Arabidopsis thaliana: one gene and its partners. The protein of the gene in region 4 interacts with the protein of the main gene of each other region in a pairwise test. Each region holds a gene or a part of one and is shown on either strand. Other genes may lie near its edges. The genes, in order: AT1G62660, AT4G37445, AT3G10290 and AT3G24570.

Region 1 (9,937 bases), on a different chromosome or scaffold from region 4:
TTATAATACGCTTATAAAGGGATTTTGCAAGTATAAAAGGGTAGAAGAGGGTATGGAAGTCTTCCGTGAGATGTCTCAAAGAGGATTGGTTGGCAACACTGTCACTTACAACATTCTTATCCAAGGGTTATTTCAAGCTGGAGATTGTGATATGGCTCAAGAAATATTCAAAGAGATGGTATCTGATGGCGTGCCTCCCAATATTATGACATACAACACTTTGTTAGATGGACTTTGTAAAAATGGGAAGCTAGAGAAAGCAATGGTTGTATTCGAGTATCTGCAAAGGAGTAAAATGGAACCTACTATTTACACATATAATATTATGATTGAAGGGATGTGCAAGGCAGGGAAGGTGGAAGATGGGTGGGATCTATTTTGTAATCTCAGCCTTAAAGGAGTGAAGCCGGATGTTGTAGCGTACAATACAATGATATCAGGATTTTGTAGGAAAGGTTCAAAGGAGGAAGCAGATGCCTTATTTAAAGAAATGAAAGAAGATGGGACTCTTCCAAACAGCGGTTGCTATAATACGCTGATTAGGGCACGCCTTAGAGATGGTGACAGAGAAGCATCAGCTGAACTCATCAAAGAAATGAGGAGTTGCGGGTTTGCTGGAGATGCTTCAACCATTGGCTTGGTCACTAATATGTTACATGATGGGAGATTGGACAAAAGCTTCCTCGATATGCTTTCTTAAAACAGTTTCATCATCCTTGAGTCGAGAGAATAGTCGAGCAAACCATATCCCCTTGAAAGCAGCATCTGCGAGGTGAATTAACCTTTTTACGTTGCTTATTTCTTAACGGATGTTCTCATGTTACAGGCAGATAAATATGTGTATATTTTGGTTACGGTTTTGTGTAAGCTTCTTGAACATGACTGATACTAATCTTTGTTATTTATCTGTTACTACTGTTAGGCTGCAAACAAGGGTTGATAAGGAGCACTCTTCAAGCAGATTTCAGATTTCGAATTGAGATTTTTCGGGCTCGAGGGTGACTTTGCTTTTGTTTCTCCCCTTCCTTCTTTTTCACAAAGCTCAATGATTTTTGTTTGGTGATTGTCTTGTGAACTGCTAAGCTTTTTAACTCATATTGAGTCATGGTTACAACTGTTTTAGTGGTCTTGTAGGAGATAAAATAAAAAGCTCACAAATTACAATTTGATATCTCGAAAAAATTGTGGAATTCTGTATAAAAAGCTCATTACCAGAACCCGCATTAACAAAGGTAAATTTCTGCCTATCTCCTTTATTTCGAGGTAATGAAGGCAGCTAAAACTTCCCATTTTATTGGATACAACCGTCTATAAGAAAGTTATAGTCTCCATATCACATTCTTTGCTCATATGATCATTCAGAACACTTGATATATGATTTCACATGAGACGAAAAATGACATTACAGTGATGTTCGCAAGATGCAAATCATTATTACAGTTGAGAACAGCTCTTTTGTTATTTCTATTGTTTGGTTGTGGATTCCATTTAACACGAAATTGCCAAGAAAAGTGGAGTTCTTGGCCATTTTACAACTTGCTCTTGGACATTCAAAAATTGGTCAAGGAAATTGAAGTCTGTACCAGCATTAGAACTCGCACGGCTTTGTGTACGAAGGTAAGTTAGAGACAGAATTTGACCTCTCTAGAAAAAATGAAGAATGTTTTACATATTCAAACTTTCTTCTTAACGTCATGTCATGCAAACGGATGATTCAACATCATGCATCACGCAATTGATCGGTGAAAGTGTGGAAAAGGTTACAAAGATAATCGGTGACGTTGTTCTTTCATATTTATTGATGTTGTACGAAGAAAATAATTTACTCTTTCAAAAAAGGAGAAAATAAATGTTATTTTCTTCTCTTCACTCACATGATGAATCAAACACAGATAAAATCAAACCCATATTATTTAACAACAATCAAAAGACTAACAAGAAAGGATGAGAAAACTCATCAGGTGCTGGAAGGAACACCGAGATCGTCTGAAGAGTAAGGATGAATAAAAGCATTGTTCATTTGCCAGACCGTAAACGACGCCGTAACGGTCGCATCAATGGCGTTATTGAACAAGAAGAGCTTGGTAGCTCCATAGATAGCTTTTGTGGGATATACTCTTGAGGTAATACATGATCTTCCACCTTGTGCGAATCCTTCTACGATCGAATGATCAACCTAATAATAAACATTTAAATTAATAACAACGGAAAGATATTAAATTATTTTACGAAAACTAATGAATAAGGTTATTAATGTAATACCAAGATTCTCATTGTCAATTTCTCTCCTTTTAAGACCGGTACGAAGCTTCCATAGATTGGTTTCACCACATCGTTTGCCAAAGTCGACCTATAAAAAATGATTTTGATTAATTAATAATTACTTGATTTGTATAATAGAAGAATCTATTAATATATGGGTATAGATTGATAACCTTGAGGTGTCAGTGCAGAAGACAGTATTGAGTTTTGAATGTTTTCCCTTAGTCACATAGAAGTAAACCGGAGTTTGTTCTGACAAGCCCTCGTCAGCGAGAACCGAGAATCCAAAAGGCCCTAAAGCACCACGCGCTGTGGAGCCTCCGTTTGTTTCGCAGCTGAATTTATTGTCGGCCTCCACAGAGTCATCATCAAAGAATAACTTGAGATCATCGGTCTTGATCTCGAACTCAGCCTCTATGTCTAGCTGAGTGGCGGAACCCACATCGACCGGAACCACAGTCCCTGGTCCAATAGTCATGTCAAATTTCTTGCTGCTTAGTCTCAATGATTTGATTTCCTCAACTGGCCACTGGACTAAGTTTTTATGCGTCCTTGTGTCCAATACAACAGTTCTTGGGATGCCCTGATCATGGTTACAAAAAAAAGTTAAGCCCTAACTCGGGTAACAAGTAACTCAAAGACCTAACGTTCATAGCACGCTACGTGAAGAAAAGGTACCTGAACAGAAGACCAACCCTTTTGTACATCAGCAGCTTCACTGTCAGATTCACCGATCCAACCCCATAAGATTCTTCGTCCCTTATTTTGATCGTAAAACGTCTTTGACGCATAATATTTCCCGTAATCGTATCTCAAACCGGTACTGATTCCGACATCGATAGAAGGATTATCGGGGACCCATGTAGCGTTTGAATCATCGTACGTCCCAATGGCATAATGGTCAATTCTAGTATCGTCCATGCTAGCCTTGATGACATGCTTGACATCTGGTCCGTTGACCGAAGTATCGAGCCCATTGAGCTGAGTCTTCGACACCGGGTAAAAATCAACGCACTCCCACATTCCGGTGTTGGGGACTTGGTGCAACAAGGTTTCGTGTTTCTCGTAGGTTTTGAAATCGGTAGTGTCATAAATGAGAGATATTCCGGTTCTATTGATTTTGGAACCGATGGTGATTCGCCATTTTCCAGAAGATGTCTTCCAGGCTGTTGTTGGGTCACGGAAGTCCTTTGCACCAATACCTGGAGGCGGTACGAGGACAGGGTTACCGGAGAACTTGACCCATTTCAACAAAAGTGGGTCGCTTGGGTCTTCAGGATAGGCAAGGTTTTGAACCTAAAATAATCAAAATGATATCAGCCATTGATTTGTCAGACCAACCTTAGATTGAAAAGATTTGTAACCAATTATGATGTTTTTTAGTGTGCTAGATACGAATTCGGCAACAATACAATACTTATTATATAGTTACTTATTACTGTAAATCCATCAAAAGCACTTTCAAAAACTGATGGAAAATTCAATATTAAAAATTAGTTAACAAAACGAACAAAGATTTTAAGAAACTCAGTACCTGTACGAATTCGTCAGTGGAACCGGTGTAGAGCATGACAATGGAGCCATCATCTAGAAAAGTGGCTGAACCGGTCCAGACACCGTTTGCATCGTACCATTGGTCAGGAACCATGGCTATTGGGAGATAAAGCCAGTGGATAAGGTCTTTTGACACGGCGTGACCCCAAACAATGTCACCCCACACAGCTGCATTTGGGTTGTATTGATAGAAGAAATGGTACCATCCCTTATAGAACAATGGACCTGGACACGTTTAACATTTCATTTGTTCGGATTAACATTTCACTGGTAAAATAATCACAAATTGAGTATTAGCATTCAAAAAGTATAATTATGACTTCAAATTTACTAATATAAATTCGAAATGATAGCATAATATATTCATCCTCTGTTCTGAAATGCTGAGATAGTGGTTTAAAAACAATAAAAAACAATAGAAGAAACACGTTTACTTAATAAAACACCACAATAAAGTACGACGTTTCATAACTTCAATAAGCTGTTATTACTGTATATTTGTGACTTTTAAGGAAGAAAATAAATAAAATATGACGTTTCAGTTACAATTGGGTTAATAGAATGAGTCAAATGGGGACTGTCCAAACACAATAATAGGTGAGCAATGATTTGTACAATATGCACATGACTCACGTGGTGTATATACAAAACAGGCAAAAACAAAGTAAACTGATTGGCTTTAATGACTCTTTCTGTTCAGATTTTGTCTGTTTACTTTACATTATAAACAAAAAAACTTTTTACGTGTAAATTAATAAATGTTTTTGCCAATATTTCTTTTTCAATTTTATCCAATGACATTAATTGTAGTCCGCAAAGGACGTGCCTTGTTGTCATATATCTATCTACCAATACTATTTTACGGGTTTGAAATATATCTATCAATTGTGTAGCCAATCAAAATTTTTATAATCCATATTTTATTTTATATAAAATAAATAATGGTCAAAGGAAATCTTTAGAAGCACAAAAATAGAAGACTTCAGTGTAGGATCTAGAGCTTACCATTAGGATCTGCAGACGAAGAAGCCAGAAATTTGCCATTCACGACGCCATTCGATAGACAACAAAACAACATCAACAAATTAATTACAAATGATACAGTAATATACAATAACAAAATTATTGAAATTCACTCTTGCGTGTTTACTTAAATCTTGTTCCTCAAGTTATGGTCTCATAAATGGTTACGAAATTCAAATCTATAGAAAAAGGAAAAATGAACATTCTTTGTAAAGATGAAACACTTTTGTTTAGCTATTTTAACAATATAAAAATCAATAATGATTAATTAATCAATTATTCATACCTAATAAAATAATCTTTTAGAAGAACATTTTATGTTCGTACCGTTCATCCAATTTTTCTCAGGCTGGAAATGAAACGCCGTGCGTTGCCACGACAAAATAGTATTGTTCCACGGGAACGCTTCAACTTTCCCATCATCGGATGATATCCAAACCCCGTCGTTGCTCTTCTCCGACACGCCGGCCATACGAGGACGTGACTCCGTCGCTATTTCAGCCTTGGAGCCGTCGTGTGTGACGATGAGAGTGACGTACAAAGCGATCAAGAGCAAACCGGAATAGACTGCAAGATGAACTTTGATGGGTCGTCTCCGACGGGTCTCCGGGATCTGGTCGGATCTTGACTCAGATAATGGATCTTGTAGGGACGTGACGGGTAAGAGAGCTTCCGTGCTCGCCATTTTCTTGTTCGTTTTGCTTTATTGAGATTTGATGGTTGTAATAGAAAATGGCAAGTCCAATATTTATATATCAAAAAATCAACCAAAATCTCAAAATAAATATATTAATGAATAATTATATGAGAAGTTGAGAACTAGAGAGATCTGGATTGGGTTGGCAAATTAGAGCTGTGATTTTTGTATTATTACCAGTAAGGTTCACGTAATCACGTTTGCAGACGACAAGTCAATACTTTTATAAAAATAATTATTGTTTGTAATATGAAGTGGAGTTTTGGTTACTATATCTTTCCTTGTTGCATACATTAGCATATATTTGGATTTTCATAGAAATACATTTCCCCCTACTACTAAATTGCCTAAAATTGTTGAAAATTAAAGAAAGAAAAACATCTTAAAATGTTATCTTTGATCTCTCTTTTTTTTTTATCCCATCCATTCCACAATTTTTTGTTTTTTTATAGAAATGTCCACTAATTATATTGGTCTAACATTCTGCATACAAACAAATATATATATATATATATATATATATATCTTTCTAAATAATAATATTCCACTCCATTTTTCTATTTCATATTTTAAGAGTAAATTATAATCATATCTAGAATTTTCATAGAAACGTAAAAGCATATATTTCCTAACTAAAAAAATTATATATCCTATGTTGTTTATGTGCAACAAGAATAAATTTGAAAACTATTAAAATTGAACAGAAAGTATATATTTATTTATCAGTAAATGGTAAGATTAATACTATTGTAGCTCACTTTTCTCAAAAGTGTTGAAGTTCCAGCTTTTCAGCTTTTAATCTTCTCCTATCCAAAGTCAAATGTTAAATATTTTAATTTAAAGAATAATTTTCCATATCAAAAAAGAGATTTAACTCGAAACACAATTAAACTAACCTTCTGTACTATATATAAATTGCATTTTTGTTTTTCTGCTAGTTTTTCCTCTACAACTCTACATTCTAAAAACATTTCCTAAAATATCACTTAAAATGATACGGAGGAAGTACTGTCAAATAATAATAAAAGAAAAATCTTATTACTTGAATCACAGTTAAGACTGTTTTAAATATTAGTTTGCGTGAAAGTGGAGGAGGGGGAAATTTAATCACAGTTAATAACTATGGCTCCACATTTTTAAAATAATATTGATTGCCCACATTTTACAATCCACGTTTTAATCAGTATCTATAAATGGGCCATAGTTCTTAAACTGAGAAGCAGTCTTTTTCAATTAAACATAAAAGTAAAATTTTTGTTGAACTTTGCACCTCCAATTTATTAGGCATCATAACTATCTCACCTAAAAATTGATTGGTAAATCATCTTAGCTGAAAAATAAAGGCTGAAAATAATTATGTTAAGATTGGGTATAATTTTTTTTTGTTTTACTCTAATTATTTGAATACAGATACACAGTGAAAATTGGCGAAAAGCTATGTTTCTCTCTTTTCTTTAAAGTTTTATTTCCTCTTATAAACTGATATAAATGTCTGATTTCATTGGTATAAATAATAAATATAGAGTAAAAGTAACTCTTTTAAATGGAGTAAACAAAAAAGAAAAGTATTTTCATCCTATTGTATTGGTGAAAACATCTCTTTCTTTTTACAGTTATATGAAGAGTAGAGCTAGCATAGTTATTTTCTCTTGTCTTTTTACTTGATTGGTATGTTTTGAGCTGACGTTAAGAGTCATTTTCTTCAGCTAAAATGTGCACCAATCAGATCCTAAAAACGACTTATATCAACTAAACATTTTGTTAAACATAAGGCTTATATATTATTTTTTTCTCTTTTTGTAAGCTTAATTTTGTTTGGGTTTGATCATCATTTCAAACTTTTATAGGACTTGATCATATCACAATTTTTTTAACTGTTTAACATGATGATTTACATATAACGAGAATCAATTCCGGCAGGTAAGTGATTATCTTGGATTAAACATATAATAATGAGATAATAGATCTTAATATCCAGAAGGAAAAAATAGAAGAAGAGAAACTTAGCCATCTCACCAATAGATTTACATATACTTTAAAAGTTTTTCAAAAAAAAAAAAAATATATATTTAATATAATTTAGTTTCTGTCCAATTATAAACACATACCTATACATATAGTTTTTCCATCATTACTCCAAAGTTTCTCTGCAGAGAAACTATTTTTTATTTTTGTCATTCTCTCTACTTATTTATTAATTGTTTATATTATTTTTAGTAAGAGAGTTTCTCAAAATTGTAACTGATGCAATTAAATACTCCCTCTGTTCCTTTTTGTTTGATTGTTTAGAAAAAAAAATTGTTTCTAAAAGATTAATTTTTTAAGTTTTCTATGTAATATTTATTGGTTAGTATTGGTGAATTGTAATTTTCAAGAAAAATAGTTAACTATCATTGGTTTAGAGTTATAGAAAACTGTAAAACACTAAAAATAATACATTTATAATCAACATTTAATATATTTTCTTAATATGTGTGTTTTTTCTAAACAATCAAACAAAAAGGAACAGAGAGAGTATAAGCTACCCACTTGAAATAAGATATAACCCAACGTATATATATGGAGAAAAAACAATTCATAATAGGTGATACAAATAAATGTATTTATATAAAACAAGTCTGAAGATAGTTTTTTACTAATAACACTTGTGTGTTTGGCCAGGCCACATGATTTCTTTTAAATAGCATATAAAATCTTATCACGATCGCGTCAGACCTGTATCCAACAATTGAACTTCGATTACGACAAAAATAAAATTGAACTTCGATTGTTTTGTTTTAAAAATTTATAAATTGATTAACCACGTGAAAGATCTGCAATCGGCATTTTGTTTAATCTTTAATAAGCAACCAAATTTTTTTAGAAACTCATTCAGCTAAGCAGAAAATTAATTAAGTAGATTTATAAGTTTATTGTTCGTGTTTGTCTCAAACCAAATTCACTTCTAAAATAAATAAAAAATTACTGATTTCTTTCACTTGTAACTTTTGTTACCGCAGCATGTCTTCAGTTCATTCTTCATATATTCTTTGTTAGATTTTTAGTTTTTTGTTTTGGTGGATTGTATATGTACTTTTTAATTGATTTAAAATAGAAAGACAAGATCTCAAATAATCAAAAAACGACAAAATATATAAATTGTTAGATGTGTGTAAACTAGATCCACATGTAAAAGACCCATTCGGTCTCACAGAATGAGACGTGCTCTCCTGGAAAATTATCCAATATACTAACACATTTTTTCTGCAAATATAAAATAAAATAATTCAACACATATCGTATATAGGTTAGTTCCGTTTTGGTTTCACCAATCATCTGGTTGTGTCAAGCAAAAAAAAGTGAGAATGTCTCAAAAAGTCCTATGCACACACATCTAATTATATTTATATACAGATATATACAGTTCATAGTTAATAGATTCTCATACATATTTGCTCAGGACTTGAATTTGTATCATATTATCTGAGACATTAATTTGTGTAAAACTTTTCTCATCCAAATATCCAATATATTTCAGAAAATATATAGAAGATTTGGTTTTTATGGATGACTTGAACTTGTAGTTTTATATTATGGCGTTTTGATCATTGGTGGTGTTTCACACGACACTTGCAAGAACATAAATTTAATCACCTAAATCCAATATCTATTTGAGATTTAAATCGATACCACCGATACTGTATCATATTATATTCAAAAACTCATACGTGGCCGTATATTATTATTTAACATTAAATGTCAATATATCTTGGTAGAATAGTGACCTAAGATTAGACATGGATCTGACTCAGATGAACAAGTTTATATTCATCCTGTCTTGTCTTCAAGGTATTTGTCATTAGGTTCACCCCGAACAACAACTTCCATTTTTTTTTTTAATATATTTTTTTTTTATCATTTTGTGATTTTATTGAAAAAATACTGAAATTAGTATAGTCTACGACGGTTGCGAATCCGGTCTTGAATTAGTCTCAAGAAACCATAACAAAGAAGAAAGAGACATCTTTTAGGCGAACACACTTTATTCCCTATGGTTTATTTTGTATTAAACATGTCAATAATCTCTAGACACGTATATACAGGTTTAAACCCGATAATAGAAATAGTAAAACACATCAAATTAACAATCAAAATACATTTTAAGGAACATAACAACAACGTAAGGTACTCTTCTTATGCTGCATCAAAGAAAACACAAACCCCCTATAAATAACACTAGAATTTCAAACCAGAACCTTGGAGTTGCTCTTGGATGATGATGTCTATCTTGTACTCCATTTCATGATAATTCTTCCAGTCACTGACTTCCCCTTTTCGGAAATAATCCTTGTGATCCACGTTATTTATATATTTTCGGGTTTTAATAACCTCCAAAGTCCAAACCACTTTGGTTACGTAAAG
Region 2 (6,666 bases), on a different chromosome or scaffold from region 4:
GTTACTTTACTACGACTTAGCTAGCTGCGTCTTTGATTTATCTCCTTTTAAGGAAGTCAGGAGAAGAATTGCTCTATATCGTGAATGGTATGCGGTAATTATTATGGTTTGTTCCTTTTTATGGCAGAAAAAGGAAGCTGACTGATCATTGGAGGAGGTTTGTACAGCCTACTTTAATGTGGCGTTGCAAATGGATTGAACTCAAATACAAAGAACTTCAGAACCAAGCACAGAAGTACGACAAAGAAGTTGAAGAATATTACCAAGCCAAGAAGTTGGAGTTAGAAAATGTCAAATCAGAAGAACTTGGAGTAAAGGCTTTACCTCCTCTTCCATGTTATACTCAGAAAACCCGACTCATGAAGAGGAAAACGAGAAAGCGAGTTGAAGAGACCGCTGATGTTACATCCTATGCATCAAACCATAATCTCTTCTCTTATTATGGTATGGAACTAGTTTGGTGTTCTTGTCTTTCTGGTCGTGATTAATGTTCATCTACCATTACTTGTCTAATAATTTCTTATCTTATTGTTTCTGATCTTTGTATAGATTGTCGGAAATCTTTGGCCGATATTGCTCTTAATGACAACTCCCGCAACCTAGGTATGGTGTTCTAAAATCTCAACTATGATATGATATTACTCCTTTTGAAAACTTTGATCTTATAAAATATTTTCTGTCTTGGGTCATCAGATAAGAAGAATAAGAGCGCCAAGGATGAGACAGCTTTCTCTGAAGAGACACCGCCTCTCGAGTTTAGAGAAGGCGATGCGTACTTGGAACAGATACTTTTGAAAATTGAAGCAGCAAAGTCAGAAGCCCGTAACTTGAAGATCCGCGTAGACAAGGTTTTGAGTGAAAATCCAAGTATATTCCCTCTGGCTAACACAGTGAATCCACTTGGAGCTGCTGATGTATACACCAGCTCAGAACAACAAAAGCCCCTGCTGGCTATCAAAAACGAAGATGAGAAATCGATCATCTCTGAAGAAAAACCGGTGAAATCTGCTTCAGTTTCATCTCATCACGTCTCACCTGAAGACGACGAGACAACAGATATTTTACTGTCTGAGATTCTAGCATCAAAGCGAAGGGAAGGGAAATCTATTATTCCCGATAAGAATCTAGTGAAGACAGAACAAGCTTCAATTGAGGAAGGTCCATCAAGACCTGTAAGTTTTCCGCTAACTCAGTGTAACTTTGCTAAACCCTTTTGGTCTCATATGCCATTCTAACACAACGCAGGTAAGGAAAAGAACACCGCGCAATCGTGAAATCATTACGAAGGAAGAGAGTAACCCAAAGAGGCGTCGGGTTTCAAGAGAGAAGCCAAAGTCTAATGCTGTGATGGCTTCTAGGTTTTCCAACAGGAAGAGAAAGCGAGGAAAACGAAGGTCAGGCTCTGCCGGGTTACGAAGAAGATCCTGAAGAAGGTTTGGAAACTTTCAAGTAACTAATCGGATCTTGTGTTAAAAAGTAAAAATTGTTCATTCTAAGATATTCTTAACTCTTAAGCCTTTAAAGTACAAAGAAATATTTATAGTGGCTGTGTTTTGATTCTTCATGTCAACAATATATTCAAACTACATCAACTTTTGAACTTTACTTCTATAATTTAGAGTGTATATATTTTTCTCTATTTTGTATTATCAATCAATCATGTTTTATATCTTGTCGGTGCTAAGTTTTTTTTGTTTGGAAAAGAAAGAAAGCTTAGTTAAAACACTATTTCAAATACATTCGTCTAGAGAGTTTGGCAGAGACAATGGCTAAAATGGTGACCGTAGGGACGAATATAACATCAGGTATAAGTTTGATTAATTTTAACTGAGGAACATTCTCTCCTGCTCTCTTAGCCGCCATTGCCGCCGGTGGAGATACTATTCCGGTGATCATAGTGACATCATCGAGTTTACTTGGCTTCACGCTCTTTGACATGAACTCAATGAACAATTTTTTCTTCTCTTCTTCGTCTTTCGCTTCCTTCCACCGCGCGAAACAAACCTGTTTAGATCATTCAACATTGTGTTAAAAATATAGAGAAATTATTATAAGATTCTTTGTGTGATTTTGATAGAGGAGAGGACTCACCTTTATTTGGTCCGGGGTTGGGAAATCGAAGTGCCTGCCTGGTAAAGCCGAGTTGAAGTTGCTGCACTCAATAGATAAAATTCCTTTTAAAAAAAAAAATGTTGGCCAACATAACCATTGTTTTCGAATGATCAAATAATGAAACAATCCTTACTTAAAGATGTCTAAAACAGCAACGTGGAAATCGTCGAAGTTGTTGATAGCTTTTTGGGTAAATTGTTTGTAGAGTGAACCCATTACCATATTCATCATCTGCGTCGGTGGTACCCCTAGGCCAAATATCGAAATCTATTTAGAAAGATATATAGGACGAAAATTTGTCAAAACGGTTATATAACGATTTGAGTCGATAATTGTTAGGTTAAAAAATTGCAAAACCTTTTCCGAGAAAGCCCATTGAACTACCCATATTGTCTAGAAGTTAGTCTTTAGGAAGAAGAAAATGTTATGTTTATATACAAATTTGTATTGGTGTGTGGAATCAGAGACTTGGCTTGGTGGGTTTGTGTCTTTGCAAAGCCAAGAATCTTGAATCTCTACACAAGACCTTGGTTCAAGTATAACTTGTGCTTTACTTACAAAATCTTAGCCATTTCTTCACAGTTGAGTAATGTACTTTTAATAAAAGCATGGGGAATATGACTTGTCCTCTATTCTCACTTTCTTTTTGCCTACCATATTAGATATCCATTAATTTTTTTCTTTTTCAAATCTAGTTCTCTAAGGAACAAGACAAAAATATGAATCTAGCTATTTGAAAGGTACAATAAAAAGCATTGTATTATATGATTGGTTGGATCTATACATGTTTAGTAATAAATTTTAGACAATTCATTTATAGCAACTTGGCCACTTGAGTTGGGTATCAGATATGAATTCAATAAATATTTACCAACTTCACATTATAAAAGACTAAGATCCAACTAAGTAGCTGACACTTTCATTCTCGCATAATTATACTCCAATTGTAAATATTTGTTTAAAGAAACACATGTAATTGGTTTCAAACGTAAATATCAACATTTGATTTACTAACACTTTAAACATTTAAAAGACTAAAACAAATTATGTAACTGCTTTGCTTATTGTTACATAGACGTTACTTACACAAACATTTTATTTTAGAGTAAATGTCCATAATTCTGCATTAAAATTGAATGTGTCATTTTCAATAAAGAACTCGGACCCATCACTAAAGGACTTTTGTCTGCAAAAGAAAAGAACAATCAATGTGTAAAACAGTATTTTCATCACTGACAGATATGAATTCTTATTATTTCCATATAAATAAAATAAAAGAAAACAAACTGTATAATCAATTAAATAATACTCATTACCAAATTCGTAAAGAAAGAGACAATGGTAGGGTCAAAAATATAAAAACTAAAAAATATCAGAGGTGAAATGATAAATAATTTAGAATGCCATAACGAGAACGGCCCATGCGGTTGCAACCGCTCCCACCGCTACATTCCTCAACACCCTTGTGCTCGCTGCTCCGCTCTGCATTCAATTCCATATTTTCATTTTAGTTAATCGAATATGTAATTACTAAATCAATATAACAAAAATTGAAAATCTATGTTCACTGTTTTGAAATGTCTCATTGGTTATTTTTAACATTGATACTCGAACTTGTGACGGTAGATAAATATCAACATTGTTGATATAAGCTAATGTACCTGATCGTCGGCGGAAGGACCGGGAGAAAAAGCGTCGGAGTTAGGTCCGGGAGATTCAGTCGGTGGTGCAGGTGGACCGAGAAGTTCCGGAGCCGGAGCAGGTGCAGCTTGATGCTTTTTCGATTTCTTTGTAGTCTTCTTATGCTTGCTTGGAGCAGGAGCCGGTACATCAGCAACCGGAGCGGCTACCGGAGCTGGAGGAGAATCAGCTACTGGTGCTGGAACCGGTGGAGAGCTCACTGGAGAAGAAACCATTGGTGCAGGAACCGGAGGAGAGCTCTCTGGAACAGGTGTCGGTGGTGGAGACGACTCGCTAACAGGAGCCGGAGATTTTGGTGACTCAACCGGTGAAGAAGCCGAAGCAGTTGGAGTTTTCGCCGGAGCCGTAGTGGGAGAAGTAACGGCGGGGGATTTAGTAGGGGAAGTAGTTGGAGCAGAAGGAGTGGTGGGAGATTTGGTCGGAGAAGAGATAGGAGATTGGCCACCGACACCGGCGACGACAATGCAGATCAATGTAACTGTTAGGAGGAAATTGCGATCCATAATTTTGTTAAAATTTGGATCAAACAAAAAAAAAAAAAAGAGTTTGAACTTTGAAGTGATGGTTAAAGTACTGATGGAGTTTAACCAAGCGTGTTGTTTGTTTGATGTAAGAGAAGTGAGTTTTATATAGGCGATGAGGAGAGATCTGGATCGTTGGATTAAAAAAGGATCACAGACAGATGTAGCCGTTGAGAAACAGAACATCATATCCTGTATCTATTAATGTAGGATTCAATACTTTTTTCATTTTTATTTTACAGAATAGCTCTTTTACTTTTTTCTTGTGCGTTTTTATAAGGATTTTTTTTTCTTGGCATTTTTCTCCTGTTATATTCTGCAATAAATTTATTCGCCAATGGTGGGTAGATTAGCATGTGTTTTGTTGAACATATGATCAGATATAGAAAATCAATTAATAGTAATTGTTTTTACGTTAGACATTAAATTGGTTATACTATAAATCACTAGTCTTGTGTCAACATAATAATTGGATTTGAAATTGATACCAATGTCGCTCACAAATTTTATCATTGTTTAATAATTATGATATTTTATATTATAGATTATATCACACGGTCGAGAAATTTCCAACTACTAAATTGTCGGGAAATTATTAGTTAAAAAAATAGCACAATATAAGGTACATAGTATAATTGAGATAAATTTTTGGGGTACGACACATGGAGTCTTGGATTAGTATTATTATGTGATCATCACGGGTGAAATTATTATGACTTGATGCATCATGCGTCTATAAATAAATAACCTTAATAATGAAAAATGATTAAACTCAAGTTCAATATAATGCAATCAAAATAAGACAAGGAGAATGAGGAAAAGAAAACGTAAACAAAAAAAAAGAGAGTCTTTGATCGGAAGTTAGAGGGAGAGGACAGCTGGTTGATTGATTTTGCCACTTTGGATTGGTGCCCACACGGATTTGTTGGCACTTTCTTCTATTTTGGCTCGTTTTAATCTATAATTTGTTGCCACCGTCACCGTAATTGCCTGAATACTCTTTGGCCTTTTTTCATTCGAGTCGAAATGGAATCAAAACCGTTGCCAATGAAGAAACGTATTGCTTAGGAGCTACGATTTTGATTTCTTTTTGTTGCTTCTCACTTTGTTCCAATCCTTCTTTCAATGACTTTATGTAGAATATTGAAAAGTATTCATAAGCGTTTCCTTATATTTATTATTTTGTGTTTTGCCAGACTAGGAGAAAACACGTTTCGGTCTTAAGCCATTCTTAATACTTTTTTTTTTTTGAGTTTTTGAATATAAAGACAATGAGTAAGTGGAAATTCTGAGAGCGGCGCGTCGGTGGAGAGAAAGCCCAAGCTAATGGTCGTTCGTTGACTTTGTTAAAGACTTTGACGAATGAGACAGTGAGTGTTATAACGATAATAAATGAAACTCGAATCTTGTAATCATTTTTTACTATGAAGCAATTATTTTGAGATTGATTTCAGAAACATGCAACGGTTATATGATCATGGTATCAATGCTGTCAATCAGAGCAGACAGAAGATTGTATTAAAAAAAGAGGTGTCAGAATAAACTTAAAACAACATAAGATCGGCCAAGGGTTGTAAACTCTCATGTTGGAACCTCTCATGTTGAGACCAGAGAAATCATATTTAGATACATTATTAAATCTGTAAAATTATATTAAACACGAGAGTTAATAAAGTTAAAACCCTAACAAAGCTTTTCTAGCTTTTTTTTTGTTTTTTAGATCAGAAACAGACGGAAGATGTTTGACTGAAACACAAGTTTTCTTACTGCTCATGGTTTAGTTAGCCTTCTTCACCTCTTATGAAAGATTGTGAGAGAGACACAGAGAGACAGAGAGAGAAGGAGAGACAGAGAGAGAGAGATTTGAATCTCAATCGTTGTAAGTGCTAAGCGCAGCAACAACCGCTCCTGTTGTCGAAAAAGCCGAGGAAATTTCCGTATGGTCTCTCCACGACGTATTGATTTTCAGGGACGGGTATAACCAAGACTTAACCGAATCAACAAAGGAACCCGGTTCGACATTAAGTATAGCTTCCCAATCGATCTGTAACCCTTTCGGGATAGTCTCAGTGAACTCCATATTAGCAGCAAGCAGAAGTCCAAGTAACACTACAAATCCTGTTACAGCAGTTCCTCGAGCTAATGGCATAAAATTGTACCTGGTAAAAAAACCAATGATTGCTATTAAATACCAACAGCTTCCGAGTAATTAATCAATCATACGTTAGGTTGTCATAGTCGTTTACCAGTAATATGTCATGCGTAAGATGGCGTCTCTAACGGTTTCTAAAGCGTCGAGCTCAGTAGAACCATAGTTCTCTCCACAATAGGC
Region 3 (7,977 bases), 5.8 Mb from region 4:
ATTACATTATCACTTTAATTGTATCTAAAAACAACATTTATGTTAAATGTTAATGTTAATATGAATTTCAAACTAATTGTAGTAGAATAACAAGAAAATATGGATGAGTGATGAAAGAAATTACTCATTTTTCTTTAATTGAGTCAAAAAATTTATAAATAATGCGAACCATGAAAATTTGCATTTTCACCAACTATTAAGATACACTAGATCATCTGTGCTAAATATTATATTTTAATAAATATAAATTTTAATTATTTAATCATTTACTCATGCAATGAACGACTACTGTTAATATTAAAATACATTTTCTAGCAACAATCTTCGTCCTAAACCATTGCGTACGTAATAGATTTGATTTTGGCTTCTTCATACCCATTTGGATTACTTGGCCTCGAAACTTAAGAAAATCGAGTTTCACTTTTTGAAACACAAATGCTGTCGTTACTGTAATTGGAAATATTGGGCTCTTAGTCCATTCAAACTTATTCCACAAGATTGGTTACTAAGGTTTTGCTCATATGAAAAGAAGACCCACGTCTGAATCTTACCGGAGAAAGATAAAAAGACAACAAATAAAATATCCAAAAGCTCACAAAGAAAATAGAGTTAGAAAACAATCTCTTTGGTCAACAAAAAAAAAAAAAAACAATCACTCAAGCGACGAGGAATGGTAAAACAGTGAGCATGAAGTTCTCGTAATTGAAAATAGCTGAGCCTGATAACGCCGTATCCTTCTCCTTGAACTTCTCGGTGAGCCCCTGCGATTATTTTTTATCAAAACATAACATACATTAGACACATTGTAAAGGAACAATCTTGAATAATTCAAATGGTAGAATTGCATGAGAATGTGACGACCCAAGCCATGAAAATAGCATACCTTTACAGTCAAACAACACCTACATCAATGGAAAATAAACCAGAATCAGTGATGAATTATACTTGTTACAGAGTAAGAAAAGGTAAGGGGGTTGAAACGAATGAACATACTCGATGAAATTGTCATATTCGATAGCCCTGTTCCTGCCTCCGCTTTTGTCAAACTTTGAAACCAGCAGATCCAAAATCACAGGAGAAACAGAAAACCCAAGGCTCATGAGTGCATCTCTCAGCTCGTTTGTATCTATTCTACCGCTTCTGTCCTTATCAAACCTCTCAAAGATAGACTGAAACCAATTCCAAAGAAGCAACACCAAACAAAACCCACATGAGCTAACAACTCCCAACATTCTTGACCAACAATTATCATCAAACCATTAGAAAAACCTTTGAACTTACCCTCCAATTCTGAAGACTAAAGAAAAGTGAAGTAAACTCTTTTGGTCCTGCAATTTGGAGTTCTTAAATCAGTATATACTCAAAAACCAGGCTAGCAGGGAGAATAATTAAAAATTTGACTTTTTTTAATACTTTCAACTTGAATTAATAATAATACAACTTGAGGATTTGGCACCAACGATCATCAAAGTCAAACCAAACAATATGCAGAGGAAAATTCAACAAGATAATTCCAAAAACTCAAACCTAGATTGTTGAAGCAAGACAATCTTCTAGTTCTAGAAAGCGCAAAAAAGGAAAGACCTAGAACAATCAATTTGAGATCAGTTTGAAAGAAAGAAGAAACTGACCAATCTTCCTGACATTGCTGTTGGTGAATAGATACATAAGGAGATGAACAGTTCTTATGCTGAAGCTCTGATTATACGAAGATAGAGCTCCTTGAAGCTCCTTATCATCGATGAATCCACTATTGTCCCGATCCGCAGCTTGGAAACAAGCCACAATGTTCGGATCTGTTCCGGGAGGAAACGCCGACGGAACCAGAGACGCAAACGGACTTCCATAAGAAGCTTGCGGAGGAGGAGCTCCGTAACCTCCTCCATGTCCAGACTGCTGCGGCGCTCCTCCGTAACCTCCTCCATGTCCAGACTGCTGCGGCGCTCCTCCGTAACCACCGTAGTCGGAAGGTCCAGACGATGGATGAGCACCGTAGCCACCGGGAGATGGAGATCCGTAGGAGGCGCCGTGAGGTTTCTCTTTGTGCGGCTTATTATGGTCTCCTGGAAGAGACGCGTACGGTGCTGACGGTGGTGCACCGTAAGGAGCGGGCTGAGCTCCGTAGGGAACTGCGTACGGTGAGGAGGCTGATGATCCGTACGGAGGAGGAGGATTGCTGCCGGATGATCCGTACGGAGGAGGGTTATTGCCGGTTGATCCGTACGGTGGCTGAGGAGGTGGTGGATTACCGCCGTAACCGTAACCTTGGCTTGATGGAGGATAACCAGACATGGTGAGAAGAAGAAGAGAAGCTTTCAGAGAGATCAACGAAGAAGAAAGTGAAAAAATTAGTTTGCGAAATTTGGAATTATGATATAATGAAGAAGGAAATTAGCTAAGTCAGATATTTTGGGGTTTGGATTATTACGATGAAGCCATTAGTTAAGAACGAATTAGCTCTGTACGCGTTGAGGGGTGAAATCGTAATTTTAAGATGATATACGCGGCTGACGCGTGACGACTGACGCGTCAATTAAAATGAACGAAACGGCTGAGGCCCATTAATGAAATGAAATGGCAGACGAAAAAACAAGAATGTATTGAGAGCCTTGAGGCCCAGTATATTAGTTTTTTTCTTTTGGTAGGAGGCCCAGTATATTAGTTAATTATCCAAATAATTCATATCTCGCACACATTTTTCTTTATATCATGAAAAGTGAAAACTAAGAGAAACGTTAAAACTTCTAATTTCGTGATACATGCCATCAAATAGCCACTAACAATCTCAAAATCTTATATAAACCAAACATGAACCAACAACAAGTCCAAAATAAATAAACCAACAAGGCAAAAAGAGACTCCCAATAGAATACGTAAGTTGTTTTTAGTATTATACATTTTTGTTAATAAACCAAAATGTACAGACAAAATCTAACAAGTTTTCATGATTTTACGAATCACAAGTTTTAGATATAAAGTATAATATAAAGAAGTTCTGAGACATTGGCCTAGTCCTACTAATAAAGAATAAATCTAGACTTTTGGACCATTTTTTGGTAAAGAGCCGAATTTTTTACCTAATCTGGGGGAAAAAGATTTTGTTTATTAAATTTTATTTTCCTCTTTGATTATCATAATAATCAATGTAACACAAATACAACAGTTTTATACATAATAATTTCAAAACTCCTAAATAAGATTAGTCAATTCAACTTTTCTCAAATATACTTTCCAATTTAAAAATACATTAATTAGTCAACTGCACATTAATTAATATATAGATTTCAACTTAATAATACATTAATTATCCCAAACAAATAATTTGTCAGTTCAACATATATTTATATATCTTTAAAAAAATTAAAACCTTCGTTTTTTTGTAATCCATCTGAGCGCTTCAAGAATGTCGTCCCATGCTCGAGGTAAGGAGCTAATTCCTCTCCTGTCTTTCTCCCACCAAAAAAAACAACCAAATCTCTCGATCTCATCGACGACGAAGATGAACAAGAAGAACCCAGATCAGAAATCCGACATGTCGTCTTCTTCATCTTCTCCGAAGAAACAAACCCTCTTCATATCATCCTTAATCATTCTCTGGTACACCTCCAACATCGGTGTTCTTCTCCTCAACAAGTTCCTCCTCTCCAATTACGGATTCAAATTCCCTATTTTCCTCACAATGTGTCACATGTCCGCTTGCGCTATCCTCAGCTACGTCTCCATCGTCTTCCTCAAGCTCGTCCCTCTCCAATACCTCAAATCTCGTTCTCAGTTTCTCAAGGTTGCGACTCTCAGCATTGTCTTTTGTGCCTCTGTCGTCGGTGGAAACATCTCCCTTCGTTATCTCCCTGTCTCCTTTAATCAAGCCGTTGGTGCTACGACGCCGTTTTTCACTGCACTCTTCGCTTATATCATGACCTTTAAGAGAGAAGCTTGGGTCACTTATGGCGCTCTCGTCCCCGTTGTTACCGGTGTCGTTATCGCCAGTGGGGTACGTCTTTTTCTCTACAATTCTCGTAATGAAAACGTCTTTGGTTGTTGATTTTGATTCTGCCGATTTTGAAATATGTGTTCTTTTACCTGTAGATTGTGATGTCTGATTTGTTGTTAGTTTAGAGCCATTCAAGATGATTGTTTGTGTTCCACGTATGTGTCTGAAACCCAAAATAGGTTTGCTTAGTTTCATGAATGTGATTACATTCAGTATACAAATTCAATTTTCCCTGTCAAGTACAAATTTGAGTCCTCTGTGGCTGTATTATCTACTTATCTAAAGCTTCATCCTTTAATGCGTTATTCCAGTCATGTGTTATCTAAAGCTTCAGACTTTCTTCTTGTAACTATTGCCATTCTTACATTCTACATTGTTCTGTGAATTATTTGATCTCTTTGCTAGGCCTTAGCTATTGAATGTTTTGTTTGTTGATTATGGGATTTCTGTATTGAATGATCCTGCTCTGGGTCTGCCTTTGTGGTTACAGGGTGAACCAGGTTTTCACTGGTTTGGATTCATTATGTGCATTAGTGCTACTGCAGCAAGAGCTTTTAAATCTGTTCTTCAAGGCATCTTACTTTCTTCCGAGGGGTAAATCCGTTAACTTTTCTTTTGCATTTGGTTACTCAATGAATCAGAAAACCTTATTATATGCTATAATAATGTAAAAGGTTCTGCAACTACAGTTGGATAAGCAAAGTAGGAAGCTGAAGCTACTAATGCTCATCTTAGGGTTTAACAGATCGTTAAGTTTTCTTGCAGAGAAAGGTTGAATTCGATGAATTTGATGCTGTACATGTCTCCAATAGCCGTCATTGCTCTTCTGCCTGTCACAATTTTTATGGAGCCGGACGTGATGAGTGTGACACTAACACTCGGAAGACAACATAAGTACATGTATATACTTCTGCTGGTTAACTCTGTAATGGCTTATTCAGCCAACTTGTTAAACTTTCTGGTTACCAAGCACACAAGCGCACTTACCCTGCAGGTAAAAATACTGAAAAGATTTTGAACTTAAACAAAACTAGAGGAGTGCCTAATTGGATCAAACATGTGTATGTTTAATGTTTCAGGTCCTTGGAAATGCTAAAGGAGCGGTTGCAGTTGTGATATCGATCCTGCTTTTCCGAAACCCGGTAACGGTGATGGGAATTGGCGGGTACAGTATAACCGTTCTCGGGGTGGTTGCTTATGGAGAGACTAAACGCAGGTTTAGATGAAGCTCAAAGACTGATATTTTCACTTAACTCATTTTTGTATCTTAACCTATAGACTTATACTTACTTATATATGTAGGTCGATTCTATGACTTATGTTCTTTTTGTTCTGGAGTTGTTGTGTTGCAAACTTGCCAGACACTTTGTATTCACTCACTCAGAACCATAAAATGATCCAGTTAAATTCATTTTTTTAGTTCGATTCTACCAATACGCAGGTTTAGATGAACGCAACACAACAATTCATGTATACGTATAAAGAAACTGAATCTGTCAAACTGTGGCATGTTGCAACCTTCTGGCATCAAATGAGAAATCGGGTCTGCCCATTCCACATGGAAGATGACCATTGTTTACATTCAAAACCAGAATACAATGGTCTCTTCCGGTCTTCAACCCATTTTCCCTTTGCAGAGTTACAAACTGAATAGGAAACCAAAATGCATCACAAAACCAGACTATAATATCTTGAGATTCAAAAACTTTGGATCATAAACTTACTAAATAGTAGAAGACATAGCCAAAAAAAAATGAATACTAAAAGCTGTGGAGAGCATATAAATACCTGAAGAAGATGAAAACTGACGTTATACATCAAAAAGAGAATCATGAAGCGAGTTTTCCTCAGAAACCAGGAGTAAAATCACCAAAAGAATGATGATAATCAAGGCAAGTGATACACTCCCTCTGAATATATGACTTTTTACCACCAGACATCTTAGAGATTATCATCAACAAAGAAAACGCTTAAGCTCTTCTATATGAATTGCATTGGTTTTAATTTTGTTCCAAGCTTTTTGTTTGACAACAGTTTTGATACTTCGGAAAAGAGAAGTAAATAAATATAAACATAGGAAGGGAGGAGCTACATGTCTACTATTTTTATTTTATAAGCCAATCAGAGCGTTTCATGTCATACCCCACTCTCACCTCTCGGGCAATTTCACACCCACTCTCACCAATCGCGTGATGAGCGCGTGTATACGTTTTCTGTGGGTTCTAACCCACCAAATGGCTTGTTTTGAAACACACTCGCTCCTTTAAAAAAAAGCCTCGAGTGCGTGATTTCAGTGTCTTTCTCCTTTAATTCCAATTCAAACCCAACCGAAATCAATTGAATTTTTCAAAACCATGTAAACCGAACCGAAATTAAAACACAAACGACAAACTAGCAATTGTCACTTCCACTATTGATCCAACTCCGACGAACCAGATTGATAATTTTGATTCGATTCCACACAGATAACATATAGTCCAAACCAAACGCAATTCATAAGAGAGCCAAATTATTACGCTATGTTCGAAGCTTTTTTAACTTGCCACAAATCAATTCACAAAATAAGAAATTGTGCTCAGAAATTTTCAGAAGAATTCTCGATCATAACTTTATGCGGTGGTGGTGGCTGTGAATAGCCAACGGAGATTGCTCCATGAGAAATTGAACCGGCATCGCCGCCGGTTTCATTGTCCACATAGTAACTCCGATTGCTGTGCGAGTTTATCTCAGTCTCCCTTATTGCGGTAATGGTGAAACCAGTCCACATATATTTTAATCAATGGATTATTGGGCTTTTTATATTAGGCCCATTAAATTCATCCGGCTTTTAAATAAAATGAGTTTTGTGATAGTCCGAGACCATTGCATTCCTCAGTGAATACAACAACATTATCTGTCTTACTAAATGTAAATGACCATATCAACAAAAAAAAATCGACTTGTTTGTCAATAAATAAAAATTCCTCGATTTCCATATTCATATAAAAGAAATAGATACCAAATTGTTGGCAAAAACAAGCAAATAATACATATTTGTGGGGAGAGAAACAAAAAAAAAAGCTACACTTTAATAGAAAGCTAATAACATATTGTTGACTTATGATAACTTGTAACGTGACTTCACACGCGTAGTAGTATTACTTAAAACTTAGGTCACGTGAACTGGATACTTATGAACCGAGTCACCCCACGGGTTACCCACCAATGACTCGTTAGCCGGAATCGTTCTCAATGCTCTCCACACAATACTATTACATTTAAAACCCGACCCAAACGCCAACTGCCAAACCCTATCTCCTCGTTTGACCCGACATTTAGCCTCCACGTAAGCCAGCTCGTACCACAGCGACGAGCTTGAAGTGTTTCCAAAGCGGTGCAAAGTCATCCGAGACGGCTCAAGATCAAACTCACTAAGTCCAAGACCTTTTTCAACCGCGTCAAGTAACGCTCTACCACCAGCGTGAATACAGAAATGCTTGAAACATAGTTTAAAATCCGGAACATATGGACTAACCTTTAACCGGAAAAGCTTACTCTTTACCAAAAAGAGGATAAACCGGAGTTTTTCAGATAAAGGCAAAACAAGCGGACCAAGTGCTGTTAGATTCGTCTTTAACGTGTCACCAGCAACAACCGTTAGTTCTTTAGAGAGTGCGACTCCAACGATACCTTTACTATCTTCTTTTTGTTCAGCACAAGTGTAGTGTTTATCGCTAGAGCCTTTGTGAGTCCTTACAATATGAGTCAATTCGTACTTAGACCGGACTCGGTCTTGACTCCGGTTTGAGAGCATAACCGCAGCGCCACCTACTCGGAATAGACAGTTAGGGACTAACATTGACCGGTCGTTGCCTCGATACATGCTTAGAGTCATGTTCTCCGTACTAACAATAACTGCGTAGGTATTAGGGTTTGCCTTTAGTAGATTTGTGGCGAGGTCCACGGAGATTCCTAAAGAAAGTTCAAGAAGCTATGAAGAGTGGTAA
Region 4 (8,153 bases):
CTAGCAGATATGTCAATGGGGTAGACAAGATTGGGTTGAAGATCCAACTAATCGTAGTCAGTTGTTTGTTCGGAATAGGATTCGAACATCAATAGGAAATCTAGAATCAGGCAAGTCTATCAAACATCAAACCAAACTTGTTCTCTAAATCTTGATGACTAATATAAGTTATTGTTTTCCTTTTCAGGTAGCTTCAAGTCAGAGCTGCAAGCAGTCATTTCTGAATGCAGGAGAACACGTTCATTTGTTGATAAAGTTTGTACAGACTTAATACATCAGACCGTAACAGTGACAGATGTAAGAGCATTTTCCAGTTTAAGCACATATGTATAAACTGTTTCTGGATCGGGTAAGTGTGAAAATTCATCTCTGTTTTGATGTTGGAATTAGCAGAAAGGGTATGCTATTCTTGATCTAGAGAGACTTAATCCTTCAGGAGTTAAAGACATTTGCCTCTCAAAGTATCTCTTTGCGGTCCTGCAGGTGTTACATCTTGAGTTTTTTTCTTTGGTAAAGTTACTGCCCTTTGAGTGTTTTCTTGACTATTCTTTGCTCTCGAATCTGCAGTTTATCTCTCAACGGCAAAGACCAATCAGAGGAAACACTTCAAAGTTGCTTTTGAACTATATCCGCGCAATTCCGTGCAGGGTAATCATTTTCAAAGTTGTTCTGTTTCTCTAGATTTTGATCTGTACTAACATTTGCTTCATTTGGCTACTCAGACATCTCTAACAGCTGCTGGTTGCTACCTTAGTCCTGCTCCAGGGTCGAAGGGTACCAAAATTATAGTCTCATGTTCTGTTGACTGTCCTTTACCATCAAAGACAGAACTCTTGAACATTTCCTTCAATGAAACTCCATCTGATGACCTTGGACAAATCATAGCAGACGCAAAATCGTTTTCTGACCATGTGGCTCCAACCAGCTTGTTTGAAGTCCAGTTTCTGGATGTTGCATCTGAATCCGTATTGAGTAAAGCCAGAGAGCTCAATCTTCTCAGCGAATCGACGTATACAACCATTGGTCTACTGCAGAGGGATGAAACTAAACGGTTTTTAACTAAAACAGAAGAGAAATCAGTGGAATTAGAGCATGGAACCAACATTGCAGCTTCCTCTGATAAAGTACATCTTTGTCTAGGGCAAAATCTCTACTTCATGAACCGTTTTCTCATCAGATGGAACCTAAGTGACCACCAATGTAATGAAGCAGACTGCAGAAATTGTCCAGTGAGTACTGCTACATCAATGGAGGTTCGGCACATGGTTGAACCCGACTGGTTATATCTAGCTGAGCTTTCAAAATGCTCAACCTCAAATCATTCTATTTCATCCTCACAAAAAGCTCTCAGGTCCTTAAAGTTGATCCCAGCCGCTGCAAGAAAAAGCCTTCCTGTCTTGGTCAATCACTGTGGATTACTACTCTGCATACCAGTATGTGAAATCACCATTTTAAATCATTTGTTTTGTCGGATTTAACTATAAGACCATACATTGATTCTCGTCTCTGTGTTTTCAGGCTATTGGCTTCAGTTATTGTTCATGCCTTGAGGCATCTGCAGTGTTTCTTCCAAGAATACCACTCGGAGGCGGTCATAGCTCATTTCTCTAGTCTAGCCATATCATGTTGCATTCATTCAATACTAACAGACATTTATTCACTTGTACTGAATTCTCGTGAAACGAAATAATATTTGATTCAAGAATCTGTATCCTAGGCAACTTCCGTTATTGAAAATCGCCAATTACACTCGTTTTTGTTTTCATTCAAAGTTTATGACAGGGAAAACGATCATACTCCGCCTTGGCCACCTCGTTCTTTTAATGGTTGAAATGATGAAGTAAACCATTGCTTCCAAGCTGCGTCCTTCTGTTGCTCGACCCATGAGAGGAAGGCACTGTCTACTAGGCAAAAGATGTTGACGTAAAGCAACTGGTATTGCACGGGAACATATCTGAAGTTTGCAATCTGAAGAAGTGGCCATGCTCCGCCTTCAAGAGCTAGAGCCGGAAGAAAATCTCTCTTGAGTCCTTCTTTCACTTCAGCTGTGTTCTTTCCTGTGGCGAATCCCATGTATGTGAAGAACACCAGTAGATCTACAGGTCCAAAGATAAGACCATCCATTGCAACTTTTGCAGCTACAAAACGTGTTGACTTTGGTACATATCGAAGCTTCAGTTTTATGAATTTATCCAAGCCTTCGTACCTGTGCAACCGCAAATAGAACAATATCAGGTTTATCAATCTACCATAGACAATTCTTTATCAGTATCTGATTCAGTGTCACTAGTTTATGTGAGCGGTAACACGAGGAAAAGCTATAACGAAATGATCTGAGATCAGAAGGAAACAAACCAGAAGTGGCCAACAGGTCCGACAAAACCAAATCCAAACATGCTCGTGATAGCTACTCGCTTCCAGTTGACTTTGAATTCTGCATCTTGCTTCCACTTGACCTTAATTTCTGCATCTGCGTCAGCATCTTTATTTGTTTCCTGTTATATTGAACATGGTTTTAGTGCTTGAGCCAAGGTAAGTCAATAAAATCTCAATATATAGCCTAAACTCAGAAACAATATACCATGACCTCTAAAGGCAAATGAATTTTAAGGATTGTCTCACAGCAGAAGATGTTATAAGTAAAGAAGTATCGCATAATTTCATAAAAGGTAAGCAGTAGACTAGAGCTGCTAATCCATAACGGCATGAACATGTATCACCAATGGACCAAAGGGCGATTTATATTGCAATGTTAACATGAAAATACCACACCAACAACATAGAGAGTCACAAAACACATTGTCTCCATTAGTATCTTTTACGTATTGGTATCACCATACCATATAAGCTCTCTTCTGAACTGTTCAAACTTTGAAAAGAACTCTGAAGCTGTAGTAGCCCACAGTTCTGGCTTAAGCATTAAAATGTCTTCGATTGTTGGAAAAAATAGCCATTAGGAAATCATGGAATCTCAGCAAACAAGTAAATGGACGTTATACTACAAGAAATTTCACACAGCCATAGAGAGAGCCTAGAAAAGAATCCGAGTGCTATTGCTCAATTACAACTTAGGCAACACAACCTAAAGTTCCAGTATCTATCTAATAGAGACCATAAGCTAACAAGAAATCACAGAAAACTGTAAACGGAGAAGACGAACTCAAATCCTTGAAAGATTTAGCAGCAAGAAGGTGAGAACAACGGGAAAATATTCCAAGTATCAAAGAAAAACTCCAGAAACAGCATCAAGGTCTAAGGAAGAACTACATAAATCAACACATTGATGAAGCATTACCACATTCACTGAAATGTCGCGAATATACTGATGCACAAGAACCAATTGACGCAGATATATCACGAAACCCAGAGATACATAGATGCAAATTCAAAAACCTAAAACTAATTTCATCAATCCGCACGAATCGGAGAGAAACTCCAATTTGAAACTTCAATCGAAGGTGAGAGAGAGAGAAGGAGATCGGAAAATGACTAACGGTGAGACGAAGAAGACGACGTTTCGCAGTGGAATGAGTGATGTATTGAGCGGTGACATCGCCAAATCCCCAAAGAAATCCAGAACTGATGACCTGAGTTTTCACAGGATGAACCGTCAGGCATCGCTGGTACCATCTCCAAAGCTTCAACATTATGTACCAGCCGTATTCGCCGTCGCCGCGAGAGAGAGAGATTGGGACCTGTCACCTGTGACGGAGAGCCGCCGTGGAAGAAGGCGATTGTGATTGGTTAGAAGAAAGAGGTTGATACAGTGCTTAAGCTTTCTTCTTAAACGTCTTCTTCTCTTTTTAATTTTTTAATCACTTCTTTTTTTCGAGTCAACAGTCAACACTACAAAAAGGCTGTTGCAATATCATTGGGCTTTTACCAATCAACATTTTCTTTCCGGCCCATTAACATTTAACATTCTAATTTAATTTGTTTTTTGTGTTGACGATGAAGAAAATTGGGTCAAATGAGAAACCTCTCATTTTAACCTCTCTATTTTTTAGGATTTTAAACCCCCAAAATTTCCCTATACACTCTATCTTGCGGCGGAAGAAATCTGTAATCACAAAGGAAAAGGTTAATAGTTTTTTTTCTTTCTCTTTTTTAAATATTTTGTTTTGTCGTCATCGAATCTTTTCGTTTAGGGTTATCTGATGTTACATCAAGGTTAAAGAAAACCGATAATCACAGAAGCATATAGAAATCGTTTTTGAAGGTACATCGATCATCGTTGAGACTTACTACGTTACAACGATCATCGTTGAGACTTAAACAATGACGAAGATGTCTAATCTCCCTAATGATTTGGCGGAAGAGGTGCTCTCTAGGGTTTCGTTAACATCTCTGAGAAACGTCCGACTTACTTGTAAAGATTGGAATACTTTATCTAAAGGTGAGAGCTTTGCAAAGAATCACCTTGGTTATCAAGCAATAGTAGCAGCGAAGGAAAAAGAGTTTATGATGGTCCTGATGATGGATTTTAGGGTTTATTTGATTCGAGTCAACGTTCACAATGACATTGAGTCGTGTATTAAGCCTGAAGGTGAGCTTATTAGCTTGGGCGATGAAGTCGATGTATCTCAAGTCTTTCACTGCGACGGTTTATTGCTATGCATCACGGAAGATAACGAAGATAACGCTAAGGTCGTTCTTTGGAACCCGTATTGGGGGCAAACACGGTGGATCGAGTCTACAAATAATTTCCACAAATTGGACATGTATACGTATGCTCTCGGATACAAGAAGAGCAGCAAATCAAGCCGCAGCTACAAAATCTTGAGATTTATTGATTTTTCTCCCACTTGTTCTGAGTTCAAAATCTACAATATCAACTCTGATTCATGGAAGGTTCTTGATGTGTCTCCAGACTGGAAGATAGATTCTTATATTCGTGGCGTGTCTCTCAAGGGAAATACATACTGGATTGCTAGAGAGAGGCACGGATACGGCCATACTTTCTTAGTCTGTTTTGATTTCACAAGAGAGAGATTTAGGTCGCGTTTACCTCTGCCGAGTCAGCCGTGTGTTTTAGATACCGTGAGTCTATCTAGTGTTAGAGAAGAGCAGCTTGCTGTTTTATTTCAGTGCTCAAGTACATTGGAGATGCAGATCTGGGTAACAACCAAAATTGAGCCCAATGCGGTGTTGTGGAACAGCAAGGTGTTCTTAGCTGTGGATATGCACTCACTTAAGTTTCAGTTTCAAGTTAGAGCTTCGAGTTTCTTTATCGACGAGGAGAAGAGAGTTGTTGTTGTTTTTGATAAAGAAAAACGTTATTTAGCGTCCTCTCGCAACAAAGCTTACATCGTTGGAGTGGATGGAACCTGGGAACAAGTGGACCTTGGAATGTCTGTAGACAAATTTGTTTACCCACTTGTGTGCTCTTATGTTCCAAGTTTAGTGCATTTTTGATTAGTATATTCTACAAAACCTGTAATCTGTTTCTTGCATATTTATACCCTTGTTTTTTCTCTTTTATCATGTTGATTGAACAAGATTATTAACTCTCCACAACTAGGATTCTCTTATTGCTCTGATCATGTCAGTATCTGTATAAAAGTGTCCAAGCCATTGTGTTCCTTTTTAACAGAGAACGCAACTACCGACTTCTCACAACATATCAAATGCCAAATGTGAACTAATGTAACCAAACAATGTTTTTTGGATAATTCACATTGCACAAATGCTTGTATCTGTAGTTTCCAATTTTCTTAAAGGGTGTTTTGGACATTTCGATCTTTTTTTTTGATATGGTAAATAAAATTACAAACAATTATATTTTTCCGAGAAAGCCATTGTTTCAGTTGATGATGGTGATGATATCTCTTCACTTCTCTACTCCGCCGCTAGCTTTTCTCAAATCTGATTCCAATTCCAGATTTCTCAAGAACCCTAATCCTAATTTTATCCAATTCACCCCAAAATCCCAACTTCTTTTCCCCCAACGTCTCAATTTCAACACCGGAACAAATTTAAACCGGCGAACTCTGAGTTGCTATGGGATTAAGGATTCAAGTGAGACAACGAAGTCTGCGCCGTCATTAGACTCCGGCGACGGTGGCGGCGGAGATGGTGGTGATGATGATAAAGGTGAAGTGGAGGAAAAAAACAGACTTTTTCCGGAATGGTTGGATTTTACCTCGGATGATGCACAGACTGTGTTTGTGGCTATAGCTGTATCGTTGGCGTTTCGTTATTTTATCGCAGAACCAAGATATATTCCTTCTTTGTCTATGTATCCTACTTTTGATGTTGGAGACAGATTAGTTGCAGAGAAGGTATTGTTTTCTTTATATTAGTTTAGCTTTGTAATCATGAGCTTTAGTTTAGGAATTGGGAAGCTATGGTTTAGTTTTATCAGATTACAATGTCAAAGGTTACATCTTTAGAGTTAAAGATAGTTTTTTAGTATGAGCTCAAGAGATTCTCATTGATTGGTTTTTGGTGTTTGTTACTAAGATGTGGTGTTGATGTTTCAGGTGAGTTATTATTTCAGGAAGCCTTGTGCAAATGATATTGTCATCTTTAAAAGTCCACCAGTTCTTCAGGAAGTTGGGTATACTGATGCCGATGTATTTATTAAACGGATTGTTGCCAAAGAAGGTGACCTTGTGGAGGTATGTATGATCATATTTTTGGCTCTTGGCTTGTAATAGTGAAGCTGATGGTTATTTTGATTTGGGGTAATGTGTAGGTACATAATGGGAAACTGATGGTTAATGGTGTTGCTAGGAATGAAAAATTCATCTTAGAGCCTCCTGGTTATGAAATGACACCAATTGTAAGTATTATCAAAAGAACCTGAAGCTTGTGGTTTTTCTTCTTTTTCTGATTTTGGTTGCTTCAACATTGTAGAGGGTACCGGAAAATTCAGTCTTTGTGATGGGTGATAACCGGAATAACAGTTATGATTCGCACGTATGGTGAGAAGCCTATTTGTTCATCTGGTTTTAGAATTTTATCACAGGATTTAGCTTCTTCTTGGATTGTTCCTTATTGTGGAAAACTTGTGTTGTCTTCAGGGGTCCTCTGCCTTTGAAGAATATTATTGGACGGTCGGTTTTTCGGTATTGGCCACCAAACAGAGTAAGCGGGACAGTGCTAGAAGGTGGCTGTGCTGTGGATAAGCAATAGAACATATTGTAACGTTTTGATTCGGCATGTCTTCATTTGAAACACTTGTGCAGATAAAAACGAAAACAATGTACCTTTTTATGAAGGAGAGAGTTGCACATTTGAATTAGATTGCAGATTAATGAGGAAACAAGAAATTCTTATTTGCAAAATGGAGATATGATGAAAATTTGTTTACTTGGTAACGAGTTTACAGGTCTTGTGAGTGAATTCTATGGGTTTGGAAGTCTTGGAGGAGGAGATGAAGAAAGAGCATGATACGTGATTCTCGTGCTTCGACTTGACTAGCTTCCCCAATAGATTACCTCTTGATCTGATCTCAAACTCCAGCTTCACTGGAACTTTACCCTTCTTGTCGGAAGCTGCTAAGTGTGGTCCTGCTCCATACAGAGGAACCTCTGCGCCAGTGAGCTTTACAATTGATATGTGCTTACTCTTTCTTGGTTGGTAATAGCTCTTTAGCTTCACAACCAGAATGTGAATATCAGATTACGATGATGACAGTATAGGAGCAATGAGTGAGATCTGAAAACAGAGAGTACCTGACCAGTGGCGAGTGTGAGAGCAGAGAAAGTGAGTTTGAAGGTAGAAGAAGAGACATGGATGCCAAAGTAAGGAGCAGGACTGTCTATTGTCACCTTCACTGAACTGTTAAAGCTTAGAATCTTGGTGGCGACTCCTGTTCTGTCTATTCCTTCTCCGTAATAGAAGCTATGGATGTCAACGCTCTTAACGGAGACGATAGGAGAGAAAGGATGAGAAGCTCCCCACAAAACAGAGCAAAAAACAGAGAACACAACCACAGTACCTAATATTACCAAAACCGCTCTACATTGTCCCACTGATAATCCTCTGTTATCATCATAAACCTCATCTTCATTAATCGTGTATGGCTTCTCCGGCCAATACATATTACTCCTCCGGGAGCTTCCTTTCCATCGAAATCCCATACCGCTTGTCCCATTAGAGGTACGGCTCGAAGAGGAGAGACGTGACTCACTGAGAATGGTGTAGTT

The links.
Region 1: the proteins of AT3G24570 (region 4) and AT1G62660 interact in a protein complementation assay, tested with the Arabidopsis thaliana proteins (one large-scale study listed by BioGRID).
Region 2: the proteins of AT3G24570 (region 4) and AT4G37445 interact in a protein complementation assay, tested with the Arabidopsis thaliana proteins (one large-scale study listed by BioGRID).
Region 3: the proteins of AT3G24570 (region 4) and AT3G10290 interact in a protein complementation assay, tested with the Arabidopsis thaliana proteins (one large-scale study listed by BioGRID).

The regions. Positions count from the first base shown.
Region 1 is NC_003070.9:23,195,536-23,205,472, reverse strand, and holds AT1G62660 (Glycosyl hydrolases family 32 protein), read right to left. Parts: upstream 5,862-9,937; 5' UTR 5,525-5,861; coding exon 5,167-5,524; exon of another isoform or gene 4,895-5,166; coding exon of another isoform or gene 4,831-4,894; coding exon 4,822-4,830; exon of another isoform or gene 4,042-4,821; coding exon 3,797-4,041; intron 3,559-3,796; coding exon 2,941-3,558; intron 2,846-2,940; coding exon 2,436-2,845; intron 2,351-2,435; coding exon 2,263-2,350; intron 2,177-2,262; coding exon 1,958-2,176; 3' UTR 1,665-1,957; downstream 1-1,664. Other genes in the region: RPF2 (rna processing factor 2), read left to right, coding at 1-700.
Region 2 is NC_003075.7:17,602,419-17,609,084, forward strand, and holds AT4G37445 (calcium ion-binding protein), read right to left. Parts: upstream 2,527-6,666; 5' UTR 2,501-2,526; coding exon 2,470-2,500; intron 2,380-2,469; exon of another isoform or gene 2,361-2,379; coding exon 2,246-2,360; intron 2,153-2,245; coding exon 2,092-2,152; intron 2,005-2,091; coding exon 1,726-2,004; 3' UTR 1,676-1,725; downstream 1-1,675. Other genes in the region: AT4G37440 (uncharacterized protein), read left to right, coding at 128-444, 550-603, 694-1,172, 1,246-1,428; AGP18 (arabinogalactan protein 18), read right to left, coding at 3,508-3,594, 3,774-4,523; SRFR1 (Tetratricopeptide repeat (TPR)-like superfamily protein), read right to left, coding at 6,205-6,493, 6,581-6,666.
Region 3 is NC_003074.8:3,180,751-3,188,727, reverse strand, and holds AT3G10290 (Nucleotide-sugar transporter family protein), read left to right. Parts: upstream 1-3,300; 5' UTR 3,301-3,403; coding exon 3,404-3,991; intron 3,992-4,481; coding exon 4,482-4,585; intron 4,586-4,756; coding exon 4,757-4,985; intron 4,986-5,070; coding exon 5,071-5,217; 3' UTR 5,218-5,325; downstream 5,326-7,977. Other genes in the region: AT3G10300 (Calcium-binding EF-hand family protein), read right to left, coding at 653-902, 994-1,169, 1,282-1,328, 1,632-2,292; KCS14 (3-ketoacyl-CoA synthase 14), read right to left, coding at 7,140-7,942.
Region 4 is NC_003074.8:8,964,884-8,973,036, forward strand, and holds AT3G24570 (Peroxisomal membrane 22 kDa (Mpv17/PMP22) family protein), read right to left. Parts: upstream 3,794-8,153; 5' UTR 3,741-3,793; coding exon of another isoform or gene 3,648-3,740; coding exon 3,495-3,647; coding exon of another isoform or gene 3,378-3,494; exon of another isoform or gene 2,633-3,377; intron 2,496-2,632; coding exon 2,356-2,495; intron 2,207-2,355; coding exon 1,792-2,206; 3' UTR 1,638-1,791; downstream 1-1,637. Other genes in the region: RSY3 (Adenine nucleotide alpha hydrolases-like superfamily protein), read left to right, coding at 8-110, 188-297, 394-483, 568-648, 723-1,433, 1,519-1,611; AT3G24575 (uncharacterized protein), read left to right, coding at 3,378-3,740; AT3G24580 (F-box and associated interaction domains-containing protein), read left to right, coding at 4,279-5,415; PLSP1 (plastidic type i signal peptidase 1), read left to right, coding at 5,754-6,281, 6,483-6,620, 6,698-6,784, 6,859-6,926, 7,026-7,137; AT3G24600 (late embryogenesis abundant protein, group 2), read right to left, coding at 7,312-7,599, 7,680-8,153.